Linked DNA regions of Lonchura striata. Each later gene encodes a partner of the first gene's protein in a complex. Links are inferred from orthologs where the notes say so. Each region holds a gene or a part of one and is shown on either strand. Other genes may lie near its edges.

Region 1 (7,550 bases):
TCCTCGGGGAGAAAGGCACAAGGAAACCCCTGGCCCCATTCATCCCCAGCCGGGGATGCCCCCCTGGCACCGCCGTGGCGGGGAAGGCAGCAGAGCCCCAACACCCCCGGGGTTCAGGGGGGCCCTGGGGCCACGGCTCCAGCCCCGCTGAGCCCCGGCAGCCCTGGCCCGGGGGGTTTGGGGTGTCTGTGGGTTCCCAGCGCCGTGCTGCCCCTCCCTGGCACAGCCCTGCCCTGGCTGGGGTCCGTGGCCACCAGGTCACTGCCCCCTGGGCCTGTCAGTGCCCACCAGTCCCCTCCGGGGTCCCCGTTGGGCCCCCCCAGCCCCCAGGCCAGAGCCCTCCCCGGGCCCAAAGTGCTACTTATCTTTAAGAGCTTTTGCAATAAGTCTTTTTAGTAATTTTTTTTTTTTTTCTAAACGGCAGTTTTGGTTTTTATTCTTGTCATTTTAATTCTTATTATTTGCTTCCTGACCAAAATTAGGAACTGGGGGTCATTCCTTTGTATCCAGCAATCACCCAAAGACGACGGCTCGGCCACATCCATAAATTTTCTTATGGATTTCTCCTAATGTTTCATCATGTTTCATTTATTTATTTTCTTTCTTTATCTTTCCCATTCAAGCTTTTAAAGATGGGGCTGGGATTTGACCTTGAGGCTCACCTGTTGAAGAAAACTCTTTTTTGTTATTATGTCATCGGCATTTTATATTTCTTATATATAATATATATGACTATATATATATGTGTACATATATATATATATATCTATATGCATCATGCCACTGTAGATACCCATCCAGTAGCATTTAGGCCTTGTTCTTGTGCCATTTTTTTTTTTTTTTCTGTTACTGATCTCTGAATGCCTTCAAGTGTATAAAGTGTGGAATTCTCTCCGGTATCTGTACTATGTACACACATTTTCATAGGAAGCACAATAAGATGACAGATGCATTGTACATCAATACCTGCTACTCTTAACAACGATGATATAAAGAATGATATAAATGATATAACTCCCCCATGCCAAGCCTTTCTCTCTTGCTGAGCTGCTGGAAATGCTCCCCCGAGGAGGCAGGTGGGGACAGCCTCATCCCGGGATGCTCCTGGAGCCCAGGGAAAGGGAAGGGGAGGAAAAAGCTTCGGGCCAGACTTCAGGAGCAGGGGCAGAGCTGAGGCTGGGCTGAGCCTCCCTTTCCTGGGAGCTCCTGGTGCCTCATCGAGCTCCAGCCTCGCTGCCTTCCCAAGGAACACAGGGCTGGAGGAGGGAAATGATTCCTCTTCCTGAGCAGGGAAAGGAGAATTAACACTCACAGAGCTGTTAATCCCTGACAGCTCCGTGGTTTGGGACCCACAGGAGTCACCAGGTGGAATTTCATCCTGGGAGCACAACCCAAATATAAACACACACACCTTTTGTCCTAAAAATTTCCAGCTACAAAGAGCAGTAGTAACAACAGAGCAGATCCAACAGAGGGCATCCAGAAAAAGCCCTCAGGACTCCATGGAGATGGAATAATAGGGAGTGGGAGTGGGCAGGGAACGCTGAAATGCCAACGCACACCCTCCTCCCCCGGTCCCTTGGCTCCGACCGTGTCCCCTGGCTCCTGGAAATGGCAGAAATGCAGTTTTGCATCTCAACGAGAACAGTCTCACCCCGCTCTGGCGCTTCCCGGCCAGAGCTGGAGGAGCAAAGGGCAGGGGGTGGGATTGGAAGGAGAACGGACGGGCCAGGAGGGCGTTAATGACCCCGATAATCGCAGCCGAGCCGTGCCCGCTCCCTCCCCGCGGCATCCCCGGCTCCGGGGGCTGGATATCCCCCCGGCTCCGGGGGCTGGATATCCCCCCGGCTCCGGGGGCTGTAATCCCCCCGGCTCCGGGGGCTGGATATCCCCCCGGCTCCGGGAGCTGTAGTCCCCCCGGCTCTAGGGGCTGCAATCCCCCCGGCTCCAGGGCCTGTAGTCCCCCAGCTCCGGGGGCTGTAATCCCCCCGGCTCCGGGGGCTGGATATCCCCCCGGCTCCGGGGGCTGTAATCCCCCGGCTCCGGGGGCTGTAATACCCCCGGCTCCGCGGGCTGTAGTCCCCCGGCTCCGGGGGCTGTAATCCTCCGGCTCTGGGGGCTGCAATCCCCCCAGCTCCGCGGGCTGTAATCCCCCCGGCTCCGGGGGCTGTAGTCCCCCGGCTCCGCGGGCTGTAGTCCCCCGGCTCCGCGGGCTGTAATCCCCCCGGCTCCGCGGGCTGTAGTCCCCCGGCTCCGCGGGCTGTAATCCCCCCGGCTCCGGGGGCTGTAATCCCCCCGGCTCTGGGGGCTGTAATCCCCCCGGCTCCGGGGGCTGTAATCCCCCAGCTCCGGGGGCTGTAGTCCCCCGGCTCCGGGGGCTGTAGTCCCCCGGCTCCGGGGGCTGTAATACCCCCGGCTCCGGGGGCTGTAATCCTCCGGCTCCGGGGGCTGTAATCCGCCCGGCTCCGGGGGCTGTAGTCCCCCCGGCTCCGGGGGCTGTAATACCCCCGGCTCCGGGGGCTGTAATACCCCGGCTCCGGGGGCTGTAGTCCCCCGGCTCCGCGGGCTGTAGTCCCCCCGGCTCTGGGGGCTGTAATACCCCGGCTCCGGGGGCTGGATATCCCCCCGGCTCCGGGGGCTGTAATCCCTCGGCTGCGCCGGGAGCAGGTCACCCCGTCCATCTGTCACAGAGCGGCTCTCCGGGAGCTGTCTGAGCCCCAGGGGCAGCACAGCCCTGCAATTCCCGTGGGATGCAGCAGGTACCACCGGGATGGGACGTGCAGAAGCTGCTCTTTGCAGGCACAAGACTCCATCGTGTCCATTGGAGCATCGGGGGACAGCAGGAGTGGGCTGGGGACATCAGCCCCGTGGGGATGCGGGGCTTCAGGCTGTTTGGGATCTGGAGACCCTCAGTCTGTTCAGGATCTGAAGTTGTTTGAGATACAGGCAGCCTCACCCTGACCAGGATTTAGGGAGCCTCTGGAGATCTAGGGAGTTCTGGGGACCTTCAGCCCGTTCAGGATCCACGGAGACTCAGCCCATGGAGACACCCAGCCCACTCAGGCTCTGTGGAGATCCCGAGATTGCACCACCTCCTGTCGCAGGTCAGAATTCCCCGTCTCCCCTCGCTGGCTGCTGGTGACAGCAGGCACCGAGGGACAATGCCACAGCCCCGGCTGCTGCCAAAGTTTCCATGGAGCCACCAGCAGGTGCAGGGGAGGCATTTCCAAAGCTGTTCCACCAAACCCCTCCGGACAGGAGAAAGGAGGAAGGGCACAATGAGGTCACCCCAGAGCCTGTCCAGAATGAACAATCCCAATTCTCCCAGTCTTTCCTCACAGCAGAGCTGCTCCATCCCTCGGATCATCCTGGTGCCTCCTCCTGACTCGCTCCAGCAGCTCCACATCCTCCCTGGGCTGGGACCTCCAGGCTGGAGGCAGCACTCATCAGATGATCATCATTAATTGTTTAATTAATACTCGTGGTGTGATTGCACACTTGGCTTTTTCCACGGATTAATGCTGACTGGATTTGTGTCCCTTTTCTCTCTGGGCACAAGAAACCGCTTCAGGGAAAAGGAACTTAATGTTAATACTTGCAGAAAGTGGCCTTTAACTCCAACCCCAGGGGAGACAGGAATCTTTTTCCTGGTGCTCTGCCTGAACCTGCACAAACTGGACCCATTTGTGGCCATTTGTTTTCCCCATAAACTTCATCCCTAAGAATCCCTGAGGTTGGAAAAGATCACCAAGTCCAAACTGTGACTGATCCCAACTGAGTTCCACGTCCAGCTTTTCCCTGGACATCTCCAGGGATGGTGACTCCCCCATCTCTCAGGACAGCCCCTCACCACCCTTTCCATGGAGAAATTCCTCCTGAATGTAACAGGGGGGAGCTCAGGTGAGGGGTGTCACTGCCACACCTGCACATCGGGGCCCTCCATGCCTGGGAAAGGCACATCCACCTCCCTCCGAGCACATCCCGGAGCAAGGGAGGCTCCAGCACCAGGGAACAGGGGCTGTAATCACAGCTGGGGAGTGGAGGCTGACACCCCCGAGCCTTCCCAGTGTTTGGGATCATCCTGCACCCCCCAGTCCCACCCCTCACTGTCCCCATTCCCTTCCCTCACCCCCAGTCCCACCCCTCACTGTCCCCATTCCCTTTCCTCACCCCCAGTCCCACCCCTCACTGTCCCCATTCCCTTTCCTCACCCCCAGTCCCACCCCTCACTGTCCCCATTCCCTTCCCTCACCCCCAGTCCCACCCCTCACTGTCCCCATTCCCTTTCCTCACCCCCAGTCCCACCCCTCACTGTCCCCATTCCCTTTCCTCACCCCCAGTCCCACCCCTCACTGTCCCCATTCCCTTCCCGCACCCCCAGTCCCTCACGGCCCCGAATCGCCCCCCCAATCGCCGCCGCTCGGTCCTCCCCCGGCAGGGGGCGCTGCGGGCGGCGGCCGCGGGCGGCTCCTCCCCGGCGCTCCGCGCGCCGCGCGCGGCCGCTTCCGGTTCCGCTCCCTTTGTGCGAGACAAGATGGCGGCGCGGGCCGGGTTCCAGTCGGGGCCTGCGAGCGGCGGCGGCGCTGGGGCCGCGCCCGGGGCCGCGCTGGGCCCCGGAGCGCCGGGCGGGGCGGTGCGCATGGGCCCGGCGCCGGGGCAGGGCCTGTACCGCTCGCCGTTGCCCGGAGCCGCCTACCCGGTGAGGCGGGGCGGCGCGGGGCGGGGCGCGGCGCCGGGCGCGGCGGGCGCTGACCGAGTCTGTTCTCTCCGCAGCGCCCCGGGATGCTGCCGGGCGGCCGCCTGGCGCCGCAGGGCCCGGCCATGGGGCCTCCCGGGTACGGAGGGAGCCCAGCGGTGCGGCCCGCGCTGGCGCAGGCCGGGCTGGACCAGGCTCGCAAGCGGCCTGCGCCGCAGCAGCTTCAGCAGGTGCAGCCGCAGGCGGTGCCCAACCGCAACCACAAGTAAGGCACGGGAGAGGGCGCATCCCGGGGCTATCGGGGACATCTCCGGCTCCTGGGGACATCCCGGACAATGGGAGTATCTCGGGGCAGCAGCAGCAACATCCCCTGGGCTGTCGTGGGGATCGGGAGGAATTTCTTCATGGAAATGGCCAGGCTTTGGAGGGGGCTGCCCAGGAAGGTGGTGGAGTTCCCATCCCTGGAGGTTTCCAAAGAATGATGGACGTGGCACTGAGTGCTCTGGGTTGGTGACAAGGTGGGGATCGGGTACAGCTTGGAGTCAAGGGTCTGGAATGGGTCTTTTCCAATCTCAAGGATTTTGGAGTTCTTGGTCCTCCTGCAGTGCTGAAGGGTCCTGTCAGGTCCTTGTGCATTCCCCTGGGACTGGAGGACAACGCTGGGCAGGGCAGGGCTGAGTTTATGTCACATGCCTGCATCCTGATGTGATGGCCCAGTGAGAATGAAATTTGTCCTGGATTTAAAATGCTGTCCCTGGAAAAGGCAATCCAAAGTTGATTGAGGCTGGAGGTCACTTGGTGTGGATGTTGTGTCAAGTCCTCCTTCCCAAGGGGTGAACCTTCTTTCCAACAGAGGCAGCCTGTTTTTAATAGATGTAATTCCTGTTCCTGTGCTCAGAAGGGTGGGGAACATTGAGATAACCAGTTAGCCCCACTGGAGCAGGGCCCAGCTAACTGGGGAGCCCCTGGCCACTCGGTGCTGCAGGTCTTTGAGCTCCTGTGCCCAGAGCCATTCCCATTTTCACGCCTCTTTTGTCTCTTGCCCCTGTCAGTGCCAAGAAGAAGAAGATGGCAGATAAAATCCTCCCACAGCGGGTGAGTGGGGTACGGGGAGGGGCTCGGGGGGAGGTGAGGCAGCCTGGGGAGCTGGTGGGCATTTCCATCCTTGCTTGGCCACAGATCCGTGAGCTCGTGCCCGAATCCCAGGCCTACATGGACCTGCTGGCCTTCGAGAGGAAGCTGGACCAGACCATCATGAGGAAGCGCCTGGACATCCAGGAGGCTCTGAAACGTCCCATCAAGGTAAGGGGAGTCTGGGTTGTCTCCAGGCTTTGGAAGCTCCTGAGTTCAGGCAGCAGGAGGGCACTGAAGGGTTGTGTCCTCTGAGTGTGGCATATCAGAGGTCCCAGTGCTCTGGACACAGCCAGGGACTGGTGTCGCTATTGGACGCGAGTACACAGAAGCTTGGTAAGTTTAAAAGAGAAAAAGAGCTAATTTTATTTCTGACCTCATAATAAATAGAATTCTAAAAGTGACAGTGGATTGGAGGATGAAATTGCCACCTCTCCAACCACACTGGTCAAACCAGCAGTCCATCAATTCTCTCTTCCCACAAAGGAGAATGCAAAACAATCATTATTTACATGGACAACGTGTGAGAACTCCAGTAGAAATCTGTAAACATTATCAGAAGGTTAAAGAAGTTCTATGAGAACTTTAAAACTTTCAAAATATCTATAAAAGAAAACACTTTTAAAAATCAGGGTGACAGAGTGGGACCAGAGTGGGTCCTCGCTGTGTGCTCCAGGAGAGGGAGAATGCGAGGCAGCTGAAAACACTGAGCTCGGTTGTAGCAAAGCCTGTGCAGGACAGCTGGCCCTGTGCAGGAGGATTGACGCTGAGCTGATGCTTTTTCTCCTAGCAAAAGCGAAAGCTGCGTATTTTTATCTCCAACACCTTCAACCCCGCCAAGTCGGACGCGGAGGACGGCGAAGGAACCGTCGCCTCCTGGGAGCTTCGGGTGGAAGGACGGCTGTTGGAGGATGTAAGTGGGAAGTGCCCATCCTCAGAGGACACTGTGGATGTGGAGTTGGCAATGAAACCAGTTTCCCAGTGTCTGAGAGCACAGCTGGGGCTTGATATCCTCCTTCATCTCTGTTTCCCAAGGAGTCTGATGGTGACGAGACCGAGAGCCCAGCTTGGAGACCGATGGGTGTCCCCATGGCAGGACATGAATTGTCCAAAGTTCTTAGAGTTGTGAGAATCACTGGTGAGAGCAGCTCAGTGGCACTTGTGTCCCCGGCTCTGAGAACCAGGGCACTGGCATTGTACGTAACTGCTGAGGGGTTTAACTCCTGCGAGCTCATCTTTAACTCCAGTCTTTCCCTTTCTGACTTGGAAACTTGATTTTTGAGCACACGTTGGTGAATTCAGGTGTTCAGAACTTAGAGGAGCTGTTGTGCACGGTGGCTGTGCTTGAGTGCTGAGACTTGCTGCCCTAACCCTCTTCCTCCCTGTGTTGCTTGCAGTCTGCTCTGTCCAAATATGATGCCACCAAGCAGAAAAGGAAATTTTCGTCCTTCTTTAAATCTCTGGTCATTGAACTTGATAAAGACCTGTATGGCCCTGACAATCACCTAGTAGAGGTGAGCTGCTTTTTGCTGTGTTTCCTCTAAAAAGTGGGTTGGTGTTTCAGCAGGTGGGGTTTGTGTGTTATTTATAACTTGGGAGGTGGGAATCCTTGAGGCTTCTAGGAGCCAGGAGCTCTTGAATTCTCACTTTGGCTTTTCCTCTCACTTCCTGAAGGTCAGAACAAATGTACTGATTCTTGTTTCAAACTCTAAGTAGGAAGAAT
Region 2 (7,058 bases), on another chromosome or scaffold:
TTTATGTGTGGGATGAATGGCTCAACCATGGAGAAACAGAAAAAGCTCCCTCCTCTTCTGGCCATAGTTTTGCATTTACCAACACAAGCAGTGACAAATGAATAACCACCATCCAACAACTATGGTAATTTATGGAACAAGTTATTGGCTCTTTCCCAACTTCCAGTGACAGCATCAGAAACGTATCTTTATTTGTGGCTATCTCAAAGGCTGAGCACAGAACAGATGCATCTATCCCAGCCCATCCCCATTTTCCAACCAAATCCAGGGATTTCTTTCAGGAGGCACTCAGATGGTTGACAAGGTATGGCAGCACGAGGTAACTGCATTAAAGCATTTCTCTTAGAGACAACTTCAGGCACACACATGAGATGAGTAAGGTAGGAATAATTAACAGCTAGGAAAAAGAAAAGCAAAAGGCCAAGGCAGAGGGATGGAGATACAATCAATAATTTACCAGATTTACCAGAGTAGAACCAGCACCTCGAAAAGCCAATCTCCTCATAGTGTCTGATGGGCAAGCACAGATACTGCGAGAAGGGGACACTCTAAGAGTGGCAAACCAGTAATGGTGTTAGTACAGCCACAACTGGAAGACAAGAAAAAGCAAAGAGAGAGAGAAGAAAATTCAGACTAGGTAGATAAAGAATAAAATCAAAGAATAAAGTGGATAATTACAGTGACAGAGAAAAAAAGCAAGAAACAGAAGGCAACTTTTTATAGCCCAGCAGAAACTCTACAAAGTAATTCTGTACACAGAATGCTAGACACTTCTGTCATTGTCACAGTAAAAATACATTTCTCTCATGTTCCTGAATATGCATTACAGATTTCACCGCCACTTGCTAGAGAATGATTCATCAAGAGCAGAAAGTAAACAGAAGTGATACCTGACCTGAGAGTACAAACCAGAAAGCTGTAAAACTTACAGAATGCAAAGCAGTACAGTGCTTATAAGAACATAATCTTAAGGTCAACAAGCATTTATTAAACTCTAAGATGATGCACCTCCAAAATTCTTCAGAGTAGACTTTTATACTCAGAAGTAAGCAGTAAGTATGCAGCCATACGCTAAAAAAAAAAAAAAAGTTTCAATTTCTAAGCCTCCAAGCCTTATTTTTTTCACAGAAATTCCATGTGAAATACACAGAACCATTTAATAGCAAAATGTTTGCTTCTGCGTAGTTCTTCCAACTCCTGCCTTCAATCAAACCCCAGAGAGGTTCTTTTACAGTTCAGCACTCTGAACATTCTCGTAACATGAACATGCAGAGAAGCTCTGTGGTTTATCAGCAGGCAATTCATTTTGGGAACTGACAACAGCCTCAAGCCTTGGCACAGCCTCCAACTTCCATCTGAGGGCTACAGTCTGGAGTGGCTCCACCAGGCAGGTGCTGGGAAACACAAGCCCTTGGTTGTGGAGGAAAGGCAGGAGGGACTACCAGAATCAATAATTCTGCTTCAACCAGGAACCCAAGAGTACACTCAGACCAGTCCCATCCTGAAATAAAGATCTGGGAAGCTCCCAACCAGAACTGCCTGCAGACTGTACATCAGCTGCTCCATGTGTACTGTCCGGGGCACAATGCTGTGGATCTCAGCCATACTCTGACACTGCTGTGATCAAGGTACCCTCACCACTCACACAGCCTCCAAAACACGTTTTTCTCCTCTAATAACCCTGTAAAACATGCATCAGTCTGGACAACATCACAAACACTCAGGGAGAGACCTGCTGATGTACCACTCACTGAAGGTGAGGCTCCAAAACACAAACTTCTTCCTAAACTGCCACACTCCTAAGCACAGAGAACTCAGCTGTGCACAGAAACACAGCTTTGCTGAAGAACCTCTCTCCCTGAGTTTCTTCTGCAATTGCACTGCTGGCTCACAGGTCTCTCAACAGTCACACCAAGAATCTCCACTGCTACCACTGACCACCTCCAATTCAACAGCAGCTTGAGCATCTCCTCGGTAATTGCCCCCACCAGCCATAAAAATGTCACAAAACCACAGCAAGAAAGGCTTTGGCCATTACTAATTCACATGTATACTGATATACACAACGGGGGGAAGGAAGGAAGGCTGTCCCTCCCAAAAGCTGTAGGGAAGGACCACAACAAGTGTCACCCACTCCAACCTCCCTACACCCACAGGTTTTACACTCGTCGGACATAACACACTTAAAATAAAACGTTCTAACACACTAGAGGTTCATTTTCTGCCTCCAGGCAGAGGAAAGCGAAAAGCCAACAGATACCACGGGTAGTACTTATTGCTATCAGGATCTCCCACGTTTCACCAGAAACACGAAACACGGTAAATTTAGCAAAGGGAACAGGGGAGGGAAACGCAAAGGGAACAGGGGAGGGAAAAGCCGGAATTTCCCCCGGTTACCGATCCCATTGAAAGCTGCTACGGGATGGGAAGAGGGGGCTGGCAGCAGCCAGGCACGGTAACAGGGCAAAGCTGACGGGAAAGCGAGAGGGACAACACATCCATCGTTTTACCGGCACCGGGACAAGGAACAAAGGCAGCAAATCCGGAACTGCCCGAGGCGCCGGAGCCCTGCCCGGGAGGTGAGGCGCTATCCCCGGCAGGAAACAAAGAAAAGCCTTTCCCGGCACCGGGCGGCCAGGACGGGGTCCCGGGCCCGCCCCGCGGGGCACGACCCGCCGCGCTCAGCGCGCGGGCCCGGGCGGCGCCGGCACGGGAACACGGCGGGAGCGGGGCGGGGAGGAGGGGCTGAGGCGCACCCGGGCCCGGGCAGGTGACGGGGGCCGGCGGCGCTCGGTGCCCCGGGCCCGGCGCGCCGGGGCCGCTGCGCGCTCGGGCGGCGCCGCCACACAAAGGGAGGCAGCGGCCTCCAAGCTCCGGCCCGCGCCCCGCCCGCGCCGCTCACCCCGCCGGCTCCGCTCCGCCTCCCGCAGCCGCGGCCGACCCGGGGTGGGTGCGCGGGGTCCGCCCGGCCCGGCCCGTCCCGCCGGTACCGCCCGTCCGACACCGCCGGTGCCGCCGCCGCCGCTGCCGCAAAGCGCGCCCGGCCGCCCAACGCGCCGAGCCCGCGCGACACCCCGGCGGGGCAGCGCCGGCGCGCTTTACGGCAGCGCCCGCCGGCGGGAGCACGTGGCGGCGCCATGAAGCGGCCGAGTGAGCGCCGGGAGCGGCTCCGGGACGGGCACGGGCACGGGCACCGAGCGGGCGGGAACGGCACGGGGAGGGCGCGGGCGGCGGCCCGGCACCGGGGGGCGGCGGCCGCCCGTGGCCGAGCGAGCGGCAGCGGTGGAGGAGGCGGGAGTCGGGGCCGGGGGATGTTTGCGGCGCTGACGGGCGCGGTGCGTTGCAGAGCTGCGGAAGGCGAGCAAGAGGCTGAGCTGCCACAAGCGCTACAAGATCCAGAAGAAGGTGAGGCCCGGCCCAGCGCGGCCCCCGCGCCGCGTTCGGCGATTTTGGGGCCGCTGCGCTGAAGTTTTGGGCCTCAGAGTGAGAACGTTTCTTGTGCCTGCCCTCATTTCTTGTGCTTCCCTCAGATAAGAGAACACCACCGGAAAGTCCGCAAGGAGGCCAAGAAACGCGGCCACAAGAAGCCCAAGAAAGACCCCGGAATTCCCAGTGCTGCGCCGTTTAAGGAAGAGCTGCTGCGGGAAGCGGAGCAAAGAAAGCAGAGGGTAAAACACAGTTTTCGGTAAAGAGAACAAGAACTGAGAGCATCCCCTTCTGTAAGGAAGCTTTGTGTGCACTCAGAGGAGCAGTCATGGTAGATGGTCCCAGCAAACTCGTGCTTTGGAAAAATGATGTATTTATTTCCAGCACCGTACCGTGTGCATTGATTTGCTCTTTTATTTTTAACCTTCGTTTCCTCACTGGGATGGGAGCATGCTGGAAGTGTCTTTTCTAATGCAGTCAGAATTCCCTGTGGTGCTGGGATACAGAAATGTCCCATCAGAGTGCTGGGAGTTAAATCATGGCATTATGTGATTACACAGAAAATCGGGATCTGCTGTCTGCAGTGTGCACTAATGTGGCATTTGTCAGCTGTAGTGGTGGCTGCAGCGCTGCTGTTCTGGGATCAAGCAAATGCATGGCTGCCTCTGGGTAGGATGCAAAAAAAGAGTTCCCAGAGTTACTTGGACAGCCAGGACTTCTAACTGAGCTGGCTCAGGAGCTTGGGTCAGGAATGGGGAGAAAGAACATTCTTCCTTAGCACCTTCGAAGATGTTTTATCTGCCCTGGGTTTTTGTTTGTGATCAGCTTGAAGAACTGAAACAAAAGCAGAAGCTCAATAGACAGAAAGAACATGAAAAGAAGAGGAAGCTGGAAGCTAAAAAGAATGCAGTCACAATCAAGGAGAAAGCAGAGGGAAAGGTAGGGGTCCTGTATGATTTTGATTCCTTGAACCTGGAGAAGTCATCCTGAAACTGCACCTTCTTAAGCAGCAGTTTACATTTTCATGCTGAATATGCACACAAGTAGTAGACACTAATTCTCATTTAAATAATTTCCTTTTGTTTTTATTTGCTTTAGGACTCCCCTGGCAAATCTAAAGGAAAGACTAAAAAACCACTGAATAAAAATTCTAAGAAATCATTCTGCAGGGAGCTTATGAAGGTGAAATGCTTTAACTATTTTTTTTATCATTAGATATAGATATATAGATATTTTATATCACTAAAGAGTCAGCAATAAGATCACTTGTTATTTTGCTTTTTTTGTATTACTGTTTAGAGCACAAAGTTTGTCTGTGATAAACTAGAACACTGATGGGATTTTACAACAGAAAATGTTAACTATTTTTGTAAGCCACAGCTATAGCAGAATTGTAATCTGGTCTGTGATGTCTTGTTGGATTCCTGTCTTTTTTCTGACCCAGGTGCTTGAGGCCTCAGATGTAGTTCTGGAGGTTTTGGATGCCAGAGATCCAATGGGCTGCAGGTGTCCTCAGCTGGAGCAAGCTGTCACTTCCTCTGGAGGGAACAAAAAGCTGCTCTTGGTTCTGAACAAAATTGGTAAGAAACACAGGTTTTCTCAAAGTGTTACTGGCACTGTGTTTCTGTGGTGGGTGAGCTATGAAGATTTTAAAGGAATCTGAGATTCCATTGAAGACATGAGATCCAACTCTGAGCTCACTACAAAGGCTGGAAATTACCCAGTACCAGTAGCTAATTAAAGAAAACAAAATACCAAGAGCAACAAGAAGAGCAAAGGGAACTCTGTGGTAGAAGTCAGAATCTTTCACAGATCATTCTGTACCATGCAAAGTCTTCTAGCCAGAGCCCAGCATTAAAAGCCTAATACAGAGGCCAGAAATGTAATTGTGATATGTTCTGCTAAGGCAGAAAGAGAGACTCTGTGTGCCTTTGGGGAAGGTATCCAGTACTTCATATTAGAGTTCTCAGCCAAATGGTATTTGTCATGATAGGATTAATTTAAGGAGTGAAAGAACTGCTCTTCTTTCCAGATTTGGTGCCAAAGAACAACATAGAGAAATGGTTGAATTATTTGAAGAAGGAGTTTCCAACAGTTGCTTTTAAGTCAGCAACAATTATGAAGGACAAGACTATGGTAAGAGCACTGCAGGCTGTCCCACGAAAAGTTCATGTGTTTGCAGTCATACATGTTGGAACATCTTTAAAATTCCTTTCTCCCTGGTTTGGTTGCACTTTTTGGTTGATGGATGTGCCTTTACACTTCAATTGAGCTTTGCAATACAGTGGGAGAATTCTTAGCACGGAAATTACAGTAGATTAATAAATCTAAGTATCCATATTTTATCTTCCTTAATAGCTCCTGACCATGGGCTTTTTTTTGCCTTTGAATCTGGTAGCAGGAACAGGTCACAAAAAGACATGCACGTGTTGATTTCGCAGAAACCACTCAGTATTTTGGAAGCAAATGCCTTTTGAAGCTTCTTCAAGGGTATGGCAAGACCCAAGACAAAGCCATTCAGGTTGGGGTTGTAGGTAAGTGTTTGGAGAAACAGGAGGAGTTTCTTTCTCCTATAAAGCTTTGGGATCCTGTATTCCTGGACTGGGTAAAACTGCTGACACCTGGTTTGCTAATGAGCTTTCTAGTCACTGTTCTTTGCTCCAAGACTCTCAGTGTTGTAGTGCTTCAGCTGCCAGGGATCCATGGTGCACTGCCATGTGCAGCACGGGGATCTGTGGGAGAACAAAGAAGGCAGGATATGTGCTCCACTGGCCCTGCCTTCCCCATGCCTGACAAAAATCCCATGGAGTATAGCACCACAAATCCTACAAGTGTGAGAAATGAGGATACATTCTTTGTCTTACTTCTGTAGTGAAGACTTCAGATCCAACTCTGATCTCACACTGATGCTTACGTTAGCAAAGCTACCTGGAAGAAGCTGTTTTGATTGGTGTTAAAAAGCTGTTTTCTTATTAACTTAAAAGGATTTATGTGATTTTTCCTCAGGTTTCCCTAATGTGGGAAAGAGCAGCATAATCAACAGTCTCAAAGGAAAGCGTGCTTGTAATGTTGGCCTGACAAGAGGTGTTACCAAGTAAGCTCAGTCTGATAAAAGCTGTTCCTTTCCTTGTTTGTTGTGTTTCAGTTACCATGAGTTTGTGTTTTAGTCCATTAGGGACAAAGCACACCCAGTGTGCAGTTTTAAATGCACATTAAAATTTGCAAGATGAAAGGTATTGGTATGTGTGATGCAAGCTTTCTCCAGGGGATAGTGTATAAACTTGATGTTTTGCAAAGCATTCTATATTGTGGAATATGTATGCTTTTGCTTGAAGGTTGTTTTGTTTGTTTAAATTTTGTTTGTTTTGTTTGTTTAAATTTCTATCCTACGCAAAGCACATGATGACAAAACATTGAAACTGACTTTATGAAGTACATTCAATCCAACACTGAGCTTTGTGTCTTGCATCCCTCACCATTACCAGTCCTTCACTGATTATCTGCTCACAGTGCATTTTTCTCTGAACAGGTCCATGCAAATTGTGCACCTTGATAAGCAGACAAAGATGCTGGACAGTCCAAGTATAATTGCAGATCCTTCTAACAGTGCCCTCACTCTGGCCTTGAGAAGT
Region 3 (7,944 bases), on another chromosome or scaffold:
AGATGTCAACTCGGAGGCAGCTGTCGGGAGACGGTTGCAGCCAGTTTACCTCCACAATTCAAATTCCCAACCTGGCGGGCGGAGGAGACCCGGACGCTCCTCCAAGGGTCGCGCCCGGCAGCCGGCATTCCTGCCGCGCCGCGCCGCGCCGCGCCGCCCCGGAAAGGCGCTACGCCGCGCCCGCCGCCCCGCGATCATCGCGCCTGCCTATCGATCGGATCCATCCATCCATCGATCGCCGGAGTTACCGGGGCTGGGGGAGAGGAGTGCGGGAGGGAGCGGGGGCGGCGGCCTGCGCCGGTGCCCGCGCCCCATCGCTTACGCCAAGGACTTTTCCCTCTTTTTTTTTTTTTTTTCCCCTTTCTCCTTTTTTCTTTTTTTTTTTTTTTTTTTTTTTTAATTTCCGCGTGTGTTTGCGGAGAAGTGAAAGGCAATTACGCGTCCGCGCACCGGGCACGCTCCTGCCGGCGGGCGAGTCCCCTGCAGGTCACCGGGCCGGGACGACCCGCGCGGACCGGGCGCACACGCGCGCACACACGCGCGCGCGCGCTCTTCCCACAGGGAAAGGAGCGCGGCCGCGTTACGTGGATCTCACTGCGGTAACTCCAATCAGTGACAAACTAATTTGCTGAGAGCGCGCAACGGCGCAACTCGTTCTGCTCGGAGATCGAAAAAAAAAAAAAAAAAAAAAAAAAAAAAAAAAAAAAGGCAACGGGTTAAAGAGAGAAGGAAAAAAAGGCCCCGTGAAAGATAATGGACGTTATCCCCCGGGAGCCCCCCGGTCCGGCACTCCGGTTACAAAATCCAATCCCCCGCCCCCGTCCGTCCCGAGCTGTTTGTCCTCCGGGCCCTGCGTCTCTCCGACACTGTTTCAAAGTGGTGGGAGAAAATATTAATTGGGTCTGAGAACAACCTAATTTCGGCAGCGAAAGCCACACTCCGGTGCCTCCAGCCCCAACGCATTGTGCACAGCTCACCCTCGCTACGGAGGCAGCGAGGGGCAAAAGTGGCCCAGAAGAGAACGGGGGGGGGGGGGGGGGGAGGGGGGAAGGGGGGGGTAAAGAGAAAAAAAAATAAAATACAAAAAAAAGGGGGTGGGGGAGAGAAAGAAAGTGAATTATAAAGAAACTAAGACCCCGACACGAGCGACACAGACACGAACCGTCATTAACCGAGCGCGGGGAGTTACCTGGGTCCTGCTGATGGCCTGCCCGGTGTTCCCGGGGCTCATCGCCGGGTGGTTCCTTTGTTGAGCCGCTGCCCAGGCCGGGTTCGCCGCTCCGTACTGGGCGCCCATGTCCTTGCCCATGCCCATGCCCGCCGCTGCCTGCTGGCTTCCCGGGGCGGCCGCCGCTGCCTGGGGCTGGGGTTGCGGCGGGGCGCTGGGGCTGCTGTAGTCGGGGTAGCTGCTGCCGTAGCTCCGCATCATGGGGCTGGGGGACGTGAGCAGCTGGTTCAGGGTAGGGGTGGCCCCGGACGGGTGCTGGTTCTGCCCGGAGAACCGCGCAAAGCCGCCGGCCGCCGCCGCCGCGCCGGCACCAGCCTTGCCGAGGCCGGCTCCGCCGCCGGGGCCCATCATCATGCCGCCGCCGGGCTGCCTCGGGGAGCTCAGCACCCCGTATCCCGCCGCGGAGCCCCCGTAGCCGCCGCCGCCTGCCCCAGCGGCCGCCGCCGCCGCCGCCACGGCTCCCGCGCCGCCGCCGCCGCCCGCGCCGCCGCCGCCGGGGCCGCGGCCGTAGCCCGGGTAGTGGTTGTACTGGCTGTTGGGGTACCCTTCGTGGGAGTTCTGCAGGGGGTCCATGCTGTTGGGGGCCGCCGTGGGGTGCATTATCCCCATCCCAGGGCTTTGTTGTCCGCCATGTTGATCAAAGCAAGGCCCGGCGCGGCTCGCCGTAGCGCTGCTGGCAGGGGCAGGGGCAGGGTTGCCATAATAGCTATTGAACTCCGAGACACCCACCGCGGAGGGGCCGCCGCCGCCTCCCCCGCTCCCGCCGCCGCCGCCGAGGCCGCCGCCGCCGCTCCCAGCGCTCGGGGGCGGCTGCTGGGGCTGCTGCTGTCCGCCCAGGGGTCCCAAGCCGGGGTGGTCGTAGCGGCCGCCGATGGGCTCGCCCATCTTGCCGGGCATCTCCTCCTCGTCGGCGCCTTTATTCAGCATTTGCTGCGGCTGCTGGGTGGGCTCGGCCTGAGCGCCCAAAACACTGTCTTTTCCTCCATGTTGCTGCTGCTCCATGTCTGCACTGGGCTGAGCAGCGCCGCCACCGCCACCGCCGTTGTTGTTGCTGCCGCTGCCGCCGCCGCCGCCGCCGAGGCTGCTGTTGTTATTCTGCACGGGATGGTGCTGAGGCGGCGGCTGCTGCGGCGGCGGCGGCGGGAATTGATTTAGCTGCTGCTGTAGTGCATGGTGGTGGTGGTGCGGGTGGTGGGCATGGTGGTGGTGGGCATGGTGATGCGGGTGGTGGGCATGGTGGTGGTGGGGCGGCGCGGCGGGGTGATCGCCTCCGACGCTCTTCAGCTTGTGGTTGGGGAGCAGCCCCGTCTCCATAGCCGAGCCCGGGTTGGAGGAGGAGGAGGAGGAGGAGGAAGAAGACGAAGAAGATAACTCCGAGGAGCTTCCACCTTCCTTCAGAGCCGGCTCCGAGGAGGAGCCGCCACCGCCGCCGCTGGCGTTGTTGTTGTTACCGGCGGCAGCGGCGGGAGCCGCGTTATTGGCCATGTTCGGCGGCTCGCCGCGGTGGTGGTGGTGGAGATGGTGATCTAAATTATTCACGCTGTTGCTGCCGGCCGGACTCCCCTCGCCGACCCCCAGTGCGGGGCCCGGCCCGGGAGCCCCGGCCCCCCCCGGGCCTCGCTCTGGGCCCAGGCCGCTCGGCAGGCTCGGGGCTTTGCCCTTGCTGTTGTTCGCACTCGCCGGAGCCGCTGCGACTTGCGCGGCCATGATCATCGCAACATTGCGAGTCCGGAGAAATTGGTGCAGATAATAGTAACTACAGAAAAATTTAAAAAACCCCAAAACTGAAAAACTAAACAAACAAAAAAAAAATCTACTCCCACCCTGAAAAATGGGGGGTGAGCAGAGGGGTGGGGGGAAGGAGAGGAGAGGGGCAGAAGGGGAAGCGGCCGGGGCAGGGACTTGACTGAGCCCAGAGTATCCCCTGCGGACCGCTCCGCACGCACCGAGTTACAGCGATTTCCCTCCCCGAGTCCGTGGTTGAGGTTAGAAATGGTAAGAACGCCTTACGGTCCGTGCCCGTTCCCGCTGTGTGATTTCACGTTGAAAGTTTTTTGTTCAGGTTTAAATGAAACTTTTTTTTTTCTCCTCCTTTCCTCCCTAACCCGGATATGGGTAAACACACGTCTGCCGGAGCCGCGCTGGCCCAGCATGGCATGAGCGAGCGAGCGAGCCAGCGCCGGCAGCCATCGCCCCCTCCGCCCCGATCGCTCCCGCGCACCCGCAAAACGCGGACTGGACTCCACGCTGGACTCGATCGGGCGCCCGCTCCCCTCCCTGCTCTCCCGGCAGCGCGGCGGGATGGGGGGCGCGGCCCTCGCGGGTCCCCCCGCTCCCAGCGGGGTCCCGCCCGTGTGCGCGCCGGGGGTCGCGGCCTGCGCGGAGCACCGAACCCGCGGGAGCTGCTCCGAGCGAGGGGTCGAGGCGGGCCCCGACGGGCGCCGCTGGGCGGGGCGGGGAGCGGGACTGTCCCCGGTGCTGCGGGGCCGAGGGTGCCGCCGGCGGCGCTGCCCCGCGCGGGCCGGTTCGGCGGGAGGGAGGCGAGGAGCCGCCATGCGCTCCAGCTGTGCCGGAGAAGATGGATCGGTCAAACTTTGGGGGGCCGCACGCTGCCCCCCAGCCCCGTGTTCCGTGCTCAGCAGCCGCCTCCTGTTCCGAGGGCAGGGACACGTTTGTCCGTGTGACGGAGAAATTAGACTTGTTTTGGATTCCCCCCCCACAAGCCACCCGCCCCTTGAAGATTTATATTTGTATGTATAGACGGTTATAACATTTAACCTACAATTCTGCAGTGGTAGCATCTTTGCAGTTGTCCACATTGTCCAGCTGTCTCCAAATTCTAACGGTCATTTGCACTGATGATGCTTTTATATATAGGGCCGTTTTCAATATGTTCTGTGTACTTATTTGCAGTTCAACAAGAGATGATCAAAGAGCCAGAGACATTTTCAGTCTCATAATTGATTCCCCAAACAATATAATTTCCAGTATGCACAAGACACTCATGTAAACGTAGTAACACAAAACCCAAAATATATAATCTGAGTAACTTGCTCCAAATGGAAAGCTGCTGCTGACCTACATTTTTGAACTAGAATGGTTTGAAGGTTTTTTTATAACTATCTTAATACAAGGGATACCTTAGTATAACAAAAGGTAATAGTCACACATTACGTTGAACTAATGAAAGCATTTGGGAGATTAAATACTTGGCTATGAATACAGCAAACTGGGATATTAGCGAACGTTTTCAAAACAGCAAGGGTCTAAACCACGATGTTTTAAATTAATATATTTATACGGTCTGTTAAAGTTAAGCACGTTTTCAAATTTCAAAATGGATAAATAGGAGATACAATCATAATGGTAGAGAAAAAAGCATATCAAGAAAGATGCTGTCATGAGTAGGTAGGCTTTTTTGAATTCACTGTGAAAATATTAAAGGAGCAGAAGCTTCATGCTCTAATGTTGAGTTACATGTAAAGATTATTGATAAATGTATGAGCAGTGTGATTCCAGCGTCTATTAATTTTAGTTCTGTCTGAAAAGTCAAAAATATTATGATTTGCATTAGGGAGTTAGTTTTGAAAAGTCTCAGTGCTCGAGAAGTACATCTTGCTAATACTTCTGTTTTACAGTTGTGGGGTTTGGTTTTTTTTTGTTGGTTGGTGGTTTTGTGGTTTTTTGGATTTTTTTGTATCCTTTGCAAGTGCAAAAATGTTGTATGGCTACACATATATAAACACAGAGTGGGAAAAAAAAAAATGGTGAGTAATTCTAGCGGGGGGAATCAGGTGCATACCCAAGGGTCATTACAGTCTGTAACAACAACAAATTGCAATTCTATGCAAACTGCTAGAAAGGGATATATCATCTTTGTAGGAGAGAGAATAACAGAACCGTAAGATGAATTCATGCCAAATCATTCATCTGCTTTTGCCAAGAGAATACTACATCTTTGTTAGTGAGCCTTTTTGACATTATCTCCTGGATTTTCTTCTTTTCTATATTCAAATGCACGCTAATTATACACATTAAACCACCTAAGTTGATTTTAAAAGTCTTTCATATGCAAATAAAAATATAGACTTCTCCTTGTGTGTATTTCTTTACATGTGTACTCTAACATAAAATATAAAATCAATTAAACACTTATACTTTGAGACATTTCTATTTGAGCAAAAATACGTGTATCGATGATCTGCTAAGATGTGCTGATAGTGCCCGGGCTGCAGATCGCAGTACTTCCTGACACACTCCGCAACTCTTTCCAATCGGGAAAATAACCCGCAAAAGTTTAACACAGATTTACTTTGAAATGTTTTCTCTGGGAAAAGGACAAAAAAAGCACGAGGCTTTAAACTGAAGAGTTCGTACCACTAACTCCTTTTCCTCCCATTTGTTTCAGCAACTCGGCTACAAGATTGGAACTAAGAGGCTATAAAATTGAGGCCCTCAGCACAATGAAATCAGTCTGCTATAAAAGGCAACACATGCCAGTTTTTCCTCCCCAATGGCAGATGCCACACCCTAAAGCAGACAGAAGGCACTGCAGTCTGTGCAAGGGAAGCACAACACAAAGCAACAACGATGGTTCAATTTTCTAGAGCGCAAATAATGTTGAAATTCCTTTTGCCATCTTTGCTCAGATGATGAGTGGTAGTGTTTGTTAAATTCAAATGCTTCTTTCCAAAAGCTCTCATTGTATGCATGAATTATGAATTTATTATAATATAATGTAAAAAAGCTTTAATTACCGTGCATATTATCTGCTGCAAAGTGATTGCATTGATATTTGATATCGCAAGTGCGCAGTTTCAACTTTAGTTTTATTTTCATTGTTCCTTCCATTTGATTATTTTCTATAAACCAGTGTTGTCCAAGTGTAATTTATTTCTCTTTATTTTTCTTGATAAATTATAAACTGTGGTGCTCTAGGATCCCTCATCAAAATAAACAACATAATTTTCTAAACTTGCTGTTGGTAATTTGTTTACACCATTGGCTACAGCATTTATACAGACACCCTAGGCCACCTGTCTGTATCTCAAGCCCATGAAAGTTACTGCTTTTCCCCTCAGTACAGCAGCCATCCTTCTGTTTGGCCTTCCAAGTCATACAAAGAGTAACACTGAAGAGAGAGACGGAAAACAAACCAATATTGTAATATCTCTGAGATGTTATGTTAGAGGTATTGGGAAAAATATGTTAAATTTTTTTGGTAAAAATCCAATCTGAGTTTCAAGACCCTGTTGGATTTGACATTGGTGTGCACAGGAATCTGAAAAATCTCTGTGTACAAAAGAAGGAGCTTTTCATTGGGATCTTGTTGTGCTTTATGGTTAAATACACTGCACAATTTAATGAAACTGTTGTCAAATTCACTGTAATTCTCAATTTCCTTCTTTTACATTTGCATTTGATTTAATGAGAAAAAAAGAGAGAAGTATGGGGACTTTTATTAAATTATCACTTCTATTACTAGTTAAACATCCAATCAAAATCATTCTGAAGTCAGTGCAAATCTTTTAATTTATTTCAATAAGGCATAAATCAGATCACAGAAAAGTAGGCAGCCAGCTCAGGGTTGTTTTAGCCTGGCATTTAGAACTATAGTAATGGAATTTTGCTTTAAAAGATCCCTTATGTGGTCAACATATAAATATAACACAGGGTTGTTTTCTTTATTATGTAATATTTACATTTCAGTCACAAATGTAAAAAATAAACTAGTGCCATAGATGTCCAGCTGATAAGCCAGATTCTGTTAGGTGTAAAGCCTGTAAGGTAAGTGTAAAAATTTTATTTTAGCTGGACAAAGTGAACTTTGAAAAAAATGTGGTTTATGCCAACAGATCATGGCCTAAAACACGCAGAGAGTGACACATTGTACCAATTAATTAAAATCCAATCTTTAGCAGCTACTAATCCTGGGCAATTTAATCCATTTCTTCTGGCAATGTGTGAACAAAAGGACTTTACAACATCACCATCACCATCTCGAAAATGTCATACATTATTTTATTATGAAGATGCAACCCGCTAGAGTTAGATCACTTGAATAGACTGCTTAAATGCCTCAATTTTACAAATGCGAATCATCCATTGAAGTCAGTAAGATCACTTGCTTCCTTAAACTTAAGCCCTGTGCTTCTGTGCTTAAGTCCTGTGCTTCTGTGGACTGAGGCCTCTGTGAAAAAACAGCTCTTGTGTCTCTGTTTTGGTGAGATAGGGGTCCAACCAATTGTCTAAGCCAAAACAAAATCTTGCATTTGGCAGTAATAGAAGGATTGTTGATTTCAGGGTTCACCTACCAGTGAAATCTAAGCCTTTAAACTGAGTTACTCTAATATTTCTGGATCCTGTGCCAATGTTTGAGAACATCATTGCATTTTGGAGAAATTTAGGAAAAGGCTGGCCTTCCTTTGAATTAATAATTTATGATCACATTTTTTATAAATTAGAAAAGTTAAACAAGAATCAGTATAACAGTAATCATAGAGTTCTCTGCCAAGTTTCTTTCCCATTCTCCTGCCTTTTACAAATCTTTTCTGATGTGCAAGAGATATATGGGAAACCAAAAGAAATATTTGTTGCTCACTACACACTGGTTTGGAGGTCCTTCCTTTTGCCACTTGTAGCATGCCAGGTTGACTGATACGTTGAAGGAACAGTCAAACTGACAGTACACAGCTTTCACTCTCATAAAATAAATG
Region 4 (7,535 bases), on another chromosome or scaffold:
CAGGCTCTGGGAACTTCTGTCTCCCCAAATTTTTGAAAGCTTCAGATTGAGGCCTCCATGTACATCTTACTACTAGAGACTCCTCTTTAGTGTTAAAATGTATTTTATCAGAATATCCCATTAAAAAATAGTGGGTTTGAGTCCAGACATCAGCATGCAAGTAATTAAAAACTGAACAGTGCATACAATAAAGAAAACTGGATAACAGAATCAGGCCTGAAATCAAGATACACTAAAGATGTCCAAGATTTGTTGCTATAAGTTTAGAGGGGAAATTTTGCTTAAGAAAAAAGCTAAAAATTTGAGGTCCCTTTCATGGATACAATTCCCAAAGTTGTGAAGAATGAATTGTTGGTGCCAGTTTTTACACAGTATAGCTCCATAGTTATCTTTGTTATGCTGACTATGTAATTTTTTTGGGAATGTGTCTGTAGAAGGCTGGTGTTGAGTCTGTAACACTGACACTCTGATATCTTTTCCTCCTTTTTCAGCTAAGCAACTATTGGTAAAGATCAAAGAAAGGGAGGAGGAGGGCTGACAAGAAACAGTGTATGAGAGATGCCTGCACAGCTTTAATAAATAAAAAGGGGTTAAGGCTTCAAATCTCTTGCAGGATATCTGTGCATGTGGGGCCCTGTTTTGCTGTAACAAGCTACATTATAGCACACTATCTTATTTAGACCTATATGATTCTGATACTTTGAATATTAATATATATTAACAAAAGAAAATTATAAATCACTAGAAATACCTGAGAATATTTAACAGTTGCTAATCTACCAGAAACCACTTTTTTTCAGCTCTGTTCTTTGTTTCCTTCCACAGCAAAATTAGATTTGTGGCTTTTAATGTTGGTGTCTAGTTTGTTTCACTTTCCAATTCACAAGAGTTGAGGAATATACGATAAGAACCTAACTTTCTTTCCCTCCAGAAAGCAGCAACTCTACGTTAAAACTTAACAAGATAAAACAGAAAGCAGAAGATAATAAGTACAAGGTAAAAATTCTTTCAAAGTTTGAAATATTGTCAGCTAAAATAAAGCTTTTCAGGGTTATGTAAATAGTAAAAATGTTTGAAACAGAGGCATCACACTTACCAATACACTGAGAAGATATGACACTGTGTTTCTTCTTCTTGAGTAGAGACAAGCTACAGTTCTGTATGAGGGGCTGGAGGTGAGGTGGTGGACTCCCTTCTAAAGCCCTGCTCACTCTGACCCTATAGATGCAGCATGCTCAGGCCTTGTGTTAATGCTACAGATGTTACCCCAATAGATTTGTGTCAAAACTTACCTTTTTCAAAATTTATGTGCTGGCTGTCCAAACATTTGGCAAGCTCTCGTTAAGAATATGCCCACCCAGGGCTTTTTATGCCATATACTTTTAAATTATTTATACTTTCTTGCAGCCTCCTTGCTATGTTTCAGGTGAGTGTGAATAAAACTAACAGTAACTAAGTACAAATGTAAAAATCCTGAAGTTGTGATTTAGTGTATACGTAACTGAGTGTGTCTCAACTTTGTTGGTCTTTCAGGATGTAAAACAACAGTAGCATTACTGATTAGTGACTTATGGTACATTAAAATCAGAAGAAAAATTAATCTAATAACCTACCAATGATGGACTGGTGTATATGTAAAAATGCAGGTAACTATGATGTGGCATGAAATTTTTATTAATACAGGTTTGTGATGTTCCCCCTGCTTGCAAACAGTGAACATGTAAACAAGTTCTGTAGTTCATTACAAGCAAAATGCCCATCAGTGCTCTGTGCTTTTTCTTTCAGCTAAAATGGTAACCTAACTGTTGTGGGATTCTGCATGAAAAACACTGTGGGCAAATTATATGGACGTGTGAGCAAAGCCTGATCTCTTCATTACTGCAGGTGAGACTTCCCACTGCTCTGATATGGCAGCTCTGTCCTTGGGTGTCCTGGAGATTCCTTTGAGTGAGGCAGTGCTGTTGACTGGCTCTCTTAGCCAGGAATGTGGGGTCTGCCTGGGAAAAGGGCTATCAACAATCCAAGGTCATCTGTGCCTGTTCTCACTGTTTGTTGCTTTTGCTGGTAGCTGATAAAAGCCCAACGTCTGAATAACAGGAGCAGCCAGGGAAGCCTGTATGGCTTCATCCCGTTTTTGCAATACACTCCCTGCCAAGCTGTACCAAGAGCTCATGGCCTGCAGAGCAGGAATGGGCCTATATATCCAACAATATAGGACCAGAGGGACTCATTAAACTTCTAAACATGACCTCAAACAGGGTTTCTTAATTATTTGAAAATGTCACGAGTTTGCATTAGAAAATCTCAGGGCTTTCTAGAGCTTGGTCAGATTTTCGTACCTTCTCTCAGTAACACAAATCTATCTCCTGTTCTGCAGTGTGATATGGTCCTAGGCTGTTTTTTTCTTATATGTGAAGCAAAATCATTATCCCACAAGTGAATATTGCCCATCCTACAGGAAGTACTCAAGTGTTTGCCATCAAGCAAATATCACAGCAACAAGAAAAGTCAAACCAGAAATCCTCGTATTAGTGAGATGGGGTGTAGGTTGCTAGTCTGTGGTCACCAGTTCAGGTGCATGCTATGCCATTTGCCATTTATTTCTTTGCAGCACACACATCAACTGTGTGCTTGTGACAAGTTGGCAGTTTGTGGTTAGCTTTTCCTGTGAGCAGTGAGAGGTACTATGCAGGGAGGGTCTGACGTTGCATTCAATGTCACCTGGACCACTATATATTAAATAATATAATGTAATATGATAATGGAAATGTTCTTAAAGATTACTTCCCAGAACTGTTTTGGGATAGATCTCAGCATCTTGGAAACTCTCCAGCTGACAGAAAGCTTATTTCTCCTAAGCAGTGCCTGTAACCAAATGGCTTAGATTGCTTTGATGGAAGAGATACTTCCCTCCAGGGATATACGCCTGGCACAGTACCTAAGTTGACCTAGTAGCGGGAATAAGTAAAGTTTCAGAAAGAGGGACACTAGACAGATCCTAAATTTTAACTTCTTGCAAACTTCTGATGAATCCTTAATGAACAGAAAACCGCTGCATTATACTTATGTACCTGTCTTCACTGTGAGTAACAGTCATACTCTTTCTGTTCTCCATTCCTCTTCCTTTTCTCTTTTGCCCTAGTATTGGAAAGTTTTATTTGTAAAGTAGTTGAGCAAGAGAGATTTTGGTTGTCTTTACTTTTTCAAGTTCAGTCCAGGAAGATTGCTATTTCTACTTCTGGTAATGTCTTACAAACATCACTATTTTCATTCTGTTATTCATTAAGTTGGGAATGAAAATGTTTTTCTAGTTTTTCTCACTTTTCCCTCTGCTTTGACAGTAGTGTCTTTTAATTGTCTTTAGTTGAGTTTCTTCTGAATGTATAGATGCAAAGAATGGCGATGTAGGCTTGATTTTGGTGGTGCTTCTTTGTGTTTTTTAGAAGGATGGAGGATGCCTGAAGGGAAACGAGGCTTTTGGGAGTGGAAGAAAAGTATGAGATGACAAAGTTGACATTGCTATCAGACAAGTAAAAAACTTGTTTGATTCTGCTCTTGTTGGCACCTAATTTACACTGGAGCAATTTCGTGAACTTCAGTGAGTTTACTTCTGAGAGTGAGATCAGTATCTGAGAGTGAGATCAGGATTGACACCTCTTAAATCACTTGGGTCGTGCTCCATAATTCATTCGCAAGTTCCTTTAATTAGTTGCAGGTAAACCCAGGCTTCCTGGAGTTCGCCGCCTCCCTAGGAATGGGCTCTGCGTGCTGCTCCCTGCCGCGCTCCGGGGTCCAGCCTCCGCCTTCTGTCTCACCGCCGGGCTGCATGTCCGGTGGGACGCGGGTCAGGGCTCTTCCCCTCGCGGCTCCCTGTGTCGGACGGAGACGGGGCCCGGCTCCCGGCGCGCCAGAAGTTGCTCTGTGGGAGAAAGTTGCGGGGCTGTGCAGGGCCGGCCGGGCGGTCCGGCCGCCGCGTGTTATGTAAGGGCGCAGGGGCTGCGGGCCGGGATGACTGACAGGGAGAGGGAAATTCCTGGGGGAGGGGGAGCGGGAGCGGCGCTGCCCTGAAGCCGCTGCCAGAACCGGCGGCTCACGGAGACCTGCGGGGAGCGCGGCCGCGCAGAAAGGGAAGCGGCGCGGGAGGGACGCTGCCGGGCAGCGTGCGGAGCGAGCGGGCAGCGCGGGCTCGTTCCCCCAGCGGGGCAAGCCGCCTGGGAAACCGGGGGCTAGCGGCGGCGGTGCGAGGGGACGAGGAACGAGCCCGGCTTCCCCTCTCCCGGCGCGGCGCGTTCGAGCCGGGGCCGGAGCGCGGCGGGGAAGTGCCTCGCTGGAGCCCGGGGTGCCCCCGGCGCAGCGGCGGCCTCGGCGGCGGCGCTGCCCCTTTAAGACCTGCTCGCCGCCAGTTCCAGGGAGAGGGAGTGACCTCTGGGCTTTGACAGCTCCCCTAATAACTAGCAGCGCCCGGCCCCGCCCCCGCCGCGCCATTGGCTGGCGGGCCGGTATGCCGCGCTGCCATTGGCTGGCCGCTTCCCCTGAGCGAACCTTTAGAACTCCGAGACACAATATTCTGTTACATTGTAGCAAAATGGCGACTGTCATTCACAACCCCCTGAAAGCGTAAGTAGGAATCAAAAATGTACATATTCCGCGTGGTTTAAATATGAAAAAAGGCGCCTTTCCGGCGCCGGCTGCCAGCCGGAGCCGGGTGCCGGCAGCCTCTCGGCGGGTCCCTCCTACCGCCCTCCTTTCTGCCTCAGCGGCTCGCTCGTTTTTTTGTGCAACACATCCCCGCGGCTCGCGCCGAAATTAACGAGGAAAAAATTGTTGGGTTAATTGGCGACCGGGCGCGGGGCGGGGGGCGTCGGGCCGGGGGGCGGCGGCGGGGAGCCCGCCCGGCGCTCCCGGAGCTCAGCGCGGGGTCGGCGGCGGCCGCGTCCCGCGGGGGTGCGCGCACTTGACAGCGTCCTGCCCCCGCTGCCCCGGCGGGCTGGCCCCGCCACCGCGCTCGGCGGGGCACCGACCGGCCCGCGGGGGCGCTCGGTGCGCGGTGCCTCCGCGCTCCCACCGCGGCTCGGAGTTGCCTCGGGAAATCTTTGGGGAGTTGGGATGTCTTGACGAAGCGACCCCCCTCGCTTCTCGGCTGGGCGGTCGGAAAGCGGGGCGGCGGGGGCTTTGCCGGTGCGCCTCGGCGCCCGTGCAGGAGAGGGAGCGGAGAGGCGAGGCAGGGAAGCAGACTTGGGTGAAATGAATGACTCGGGACTGCCGGTCGCTGATTTTGGGCAGGAAGTCCGGAGATCTGTTTTGCATATGACAGGCTTTCGCTTTTCAAAGTGGCAAAGAGAGTTGATTGTGTTTCCATCTTGAGAGCGGGCACAAGCCGCCGAGGGCTGTACGGACGGGGTCTGACCCCAGCTTGAGAGAGGGAGGGGGCAGGTACTTCTGCTGCGGAGGTATTCCGGGGCTCCCGGTCTGGAACTAGGGCTGATTTCTGAGGGGCACCGCGGGAGCCGGTTGTCGTCTTCTGGATCGCGTCCTTTATTTTCCTTGTGGTCTGCAGCGCACGCCGCTAATCCCCGAAGGCATTAGGGAGAGTGGGATTTGGCACCGTATGTGGGGAGCGGAGCTATCTTAACCTTTTTCAAACGACTTCCCTGCTAACGGGGGCAGCGCTCTTCCTAGTGAAGCAGGGAAGCAGAGTACCTGGCGGTGACGCTTCGCTTGCACTTTCTGGCTGCGCTGAGTGGGTGTTTTTATACCTTTGAGTTTTGTGAGATGAAATTAGGGCTGCGAGGTTTTTTCTTTTTCTTTTTTTTTTTTTTTTCTTTTTTTTTTTCTTTTTTTCTTTCCCGGCTCGAGTCTCTCCGCCTGGAGTTGGAAAAACACTTGAAGGTTTTTCCAGGGATTTCTGCCGCTGTGTCTCTGCGATCCAGAGGGAAAGGAAAGCCTCGAGCTGGGAAGGGGTGCTGACATGTTTATCAGCTTTCCTGCTCCGTCCTGGCAGAAAAACCTTTGCTTTCATTTACTCGCCCTCTCGGATATAAAAATCCGCGGGGAGAGGGGAGCGCAGTTGCAGGGGGTTAATCGAAGCAGTCCGAGTGTCCTCATGGGTGGGTGCCGAGGGACTGAACGCGCTCTGAAAACCGCGCGGCAGAGGCAGCGTTTCTCCCCCCGCGTTCGACGGCAGGTTTACGCTTGTGCAGGCGACAGCGATTTCTCCCCGCGCCCCTCCCGGCCGCCGGCCGCGGGCAGAGCACCCCGGGGCCGCACCGCCCGGCTTTGCACCTGGGCACGGAGCACCGCGGATGCGTGCGCCGTTCGCGGCTGCTGCCGGTAGCGGGGAAGCCCGGGCTCGGTGGCCCCTGGGGACGGCGAGAGGGAGGCGGGGAGCTCCCGGGAGCGGCCACGGGAGCACGGCTGGCGGCCCCGGCCCCCGCCCCGCCGGCGGACGGGACCTTGCCGCCTCGCACCGCACTTCGTGGCACCGTGGGGCTCCCGGCAGCCGCGGCGCTCCCTGCCGAAGGGCCGCTTGTGCCGAAATGAATCGGGGCCCGATCCCGCTGCTGCTGAAGTCTGGGAGGACAGGATGAGGCCATTTATAATTAGCTCCCTTCTCCTCCCCTCGCCCCTGGGGGGTGTGAGAGGAGGAAACAATAGACATCAAGTGCTGGTTTCGCTTTTCTCTGTGTGCCTTTTAAAGTACTAAGGCTATGTGGAGGAAGTAGAATTGGTACTGGCTGTCTGACACCATCTGTAATTTTGTTGACAACTTGTTTAATAAAACATTTTATAATTTTCACTTATTCTTTAAAGTTGCTGATCGGGAAACAATACACATGTAAATAAATTATGCATGGGATAAATTAGGACAAAAGCAGTAGGACACATAATAGGGGAGGGATGCAGTCCACATTGTTTTATCCTCATGTGTCCTTCCTGACAATGAACGGGAGCTGAATGACATTTGCATTTCCTCTGTCTGCGTTTTGATTGTATCTCAGAACCCACAAACGCCCCCTACAGAAACCGGCCACACAAAGGTTTTGCTCCGAAATGGGGGACAATGTAGGGACTGAGAAATCCTGGCTCAGGTATCAAGCAGCTCCTTGTGTATGCTTGTGCATTTAGGAGTGTCTAATATTCAGTTTGTCTCTGGCACTTGGACACACATGTGGCCTTGTTCATGCTACACTACTCTCTCTGAATAATGTATTCCAGTACCTGAGCATCTATGGGAATGCATTTCATAGAACAGCTCAGTGTGTGGAGTCCCTTATTAATGATTGGTTTCTCCCTACTCAACTTGCCTTTTCTCTGTCACTTTCTGGTTCTCTTTTGGTGCTTTCTTCCCTCTGCTCTTCTCCCCTTCACTTCCTCTGGTGCACCAGTTTACCTGACATGACTGTCTGTTATTTCTGCCATTTATTAGCTTGTTGTTTACGGTGCTACAGACAAAAATATCTGAGATCTAAGTTTAACAGATCTGCAAGGTAAAGGTAGCAGGTGTTTGGACAAGCACATGCTTCTTCATCTGTAGA

Evidence for each region.
Region 2: SMARCD1 (region 1) and PBRM1 share a complex: the UniProt entries of both Homo sapiens proteins name them as parts of the SWI/SNF-B (PBAF) chromatin remodeling complex. The link is inferred for Lonchura striata from reciprocal best matches to the Homo sapiens genes SMARCD1 and PBRM1.
Region 3: SMARCD1 (region 1) and ARID1B share a complex: the UniProt entries of both Homo sapiens proteins name them as parts of the neuron-specific chromatin remodeling complex. The link is inferred for Lonchura striata from reciprocal best matches to the Homo sapiens genes SMARCD1 and ARID1B.
Region 4: SMARCD1 (region 1) and DPF3 share a complex: the UniProt entries of both Homo sapiens proteins name them as parts of the BAF complex. The link is inferred for Lonchura striata from reciprocal best matches to the Homo sapiens genes SMARCD1 and DPF3.

The regions. Positions count from the first base shown.
Region 1 is NC_134629.1:8,796,717-8,804,266, forward strand, and holds the start of SMARCD1 (SWI/SNF-related matrix-associated actin-dependent regulator of chromatin subfamily D member 1), read left to right. Parts: upstream 1-4,534; coding exon 4,535-4,699; intron 4,700-4,773; coding exon 4,774-4,961; intron 4,962-5,748; coding exon 5,749-5,791; intron 5,792-5,875; coding exon 5,876-5,998; intron 5,999-6,617; coding exon 6,618-6,740; intron 6,741-7,224; coding exon 7,225-7,341; intron 7,342-7,550. UniProt on the Homo sapiens protein: Involved in transcriptional activation and repression of select genes by chromatin remodeling (alteration of DNA-nucleosome topology).
Region 2 is NC_134614.1:9,332,014-9,339,071, reverse strand, and holds the start of PBRM1 (protein polybromo-1), read right to left. Parts: upstream 3,017-7,058; 5' UTR 2,903-3,016; intron 590-2,902; 5' UTR 506-589; coding exon 458-505; intron 1-457. Other genes in the region: GNL3 (guanine nucleotide-binding protein-like 3), read left to right, coding at 3,138-3,150, 3,347-3,405, 3,531-3,668, 4,252-4,365, 4,525-4,608, 4,871-5,006, 5,459-5,562, 5,825-5,960 and 2 more. UniProt on the Homo sapiens protein: Involved in transcriptional activation and repression of select genes by chromatin remodeling (alteration of DNA-nucleosome topology). Required for the stability of the SWI/SNF chromatin remodeling complex SWI/SNF-B (PBAF).
Region 3 is NC_134605.1:54,590,810-54,598,753, forward strand, and holds the start of ARID1B (AT-rich interactive domain-containing protein 1B), read right to left. Parts: upstream 3,015-7,944; 5' UTR 2,942-3,014; coding exon 1,190-2,941; intron 1-1,189. UniProt on the Homo sapiens protein: Involved in transcriptional activation and repression of select genes by chromatin remodeling (alteration of DNA-nucleosome topology).
Region 4 is NC_134608.1:35,481,755-35,489,289, reverse strand, and holds the start of DPF3 (zinc finger protein DPF3), read left to right. Parts: upstream 1-4,523; 5' UTR 4,524-4,585; coding exon 4,586-4,617; intron 4,618-7,535. UniProt on the Homo sapiens protein: Belongs to the neuron-specific chromatin remodeling complex (nBAF complex).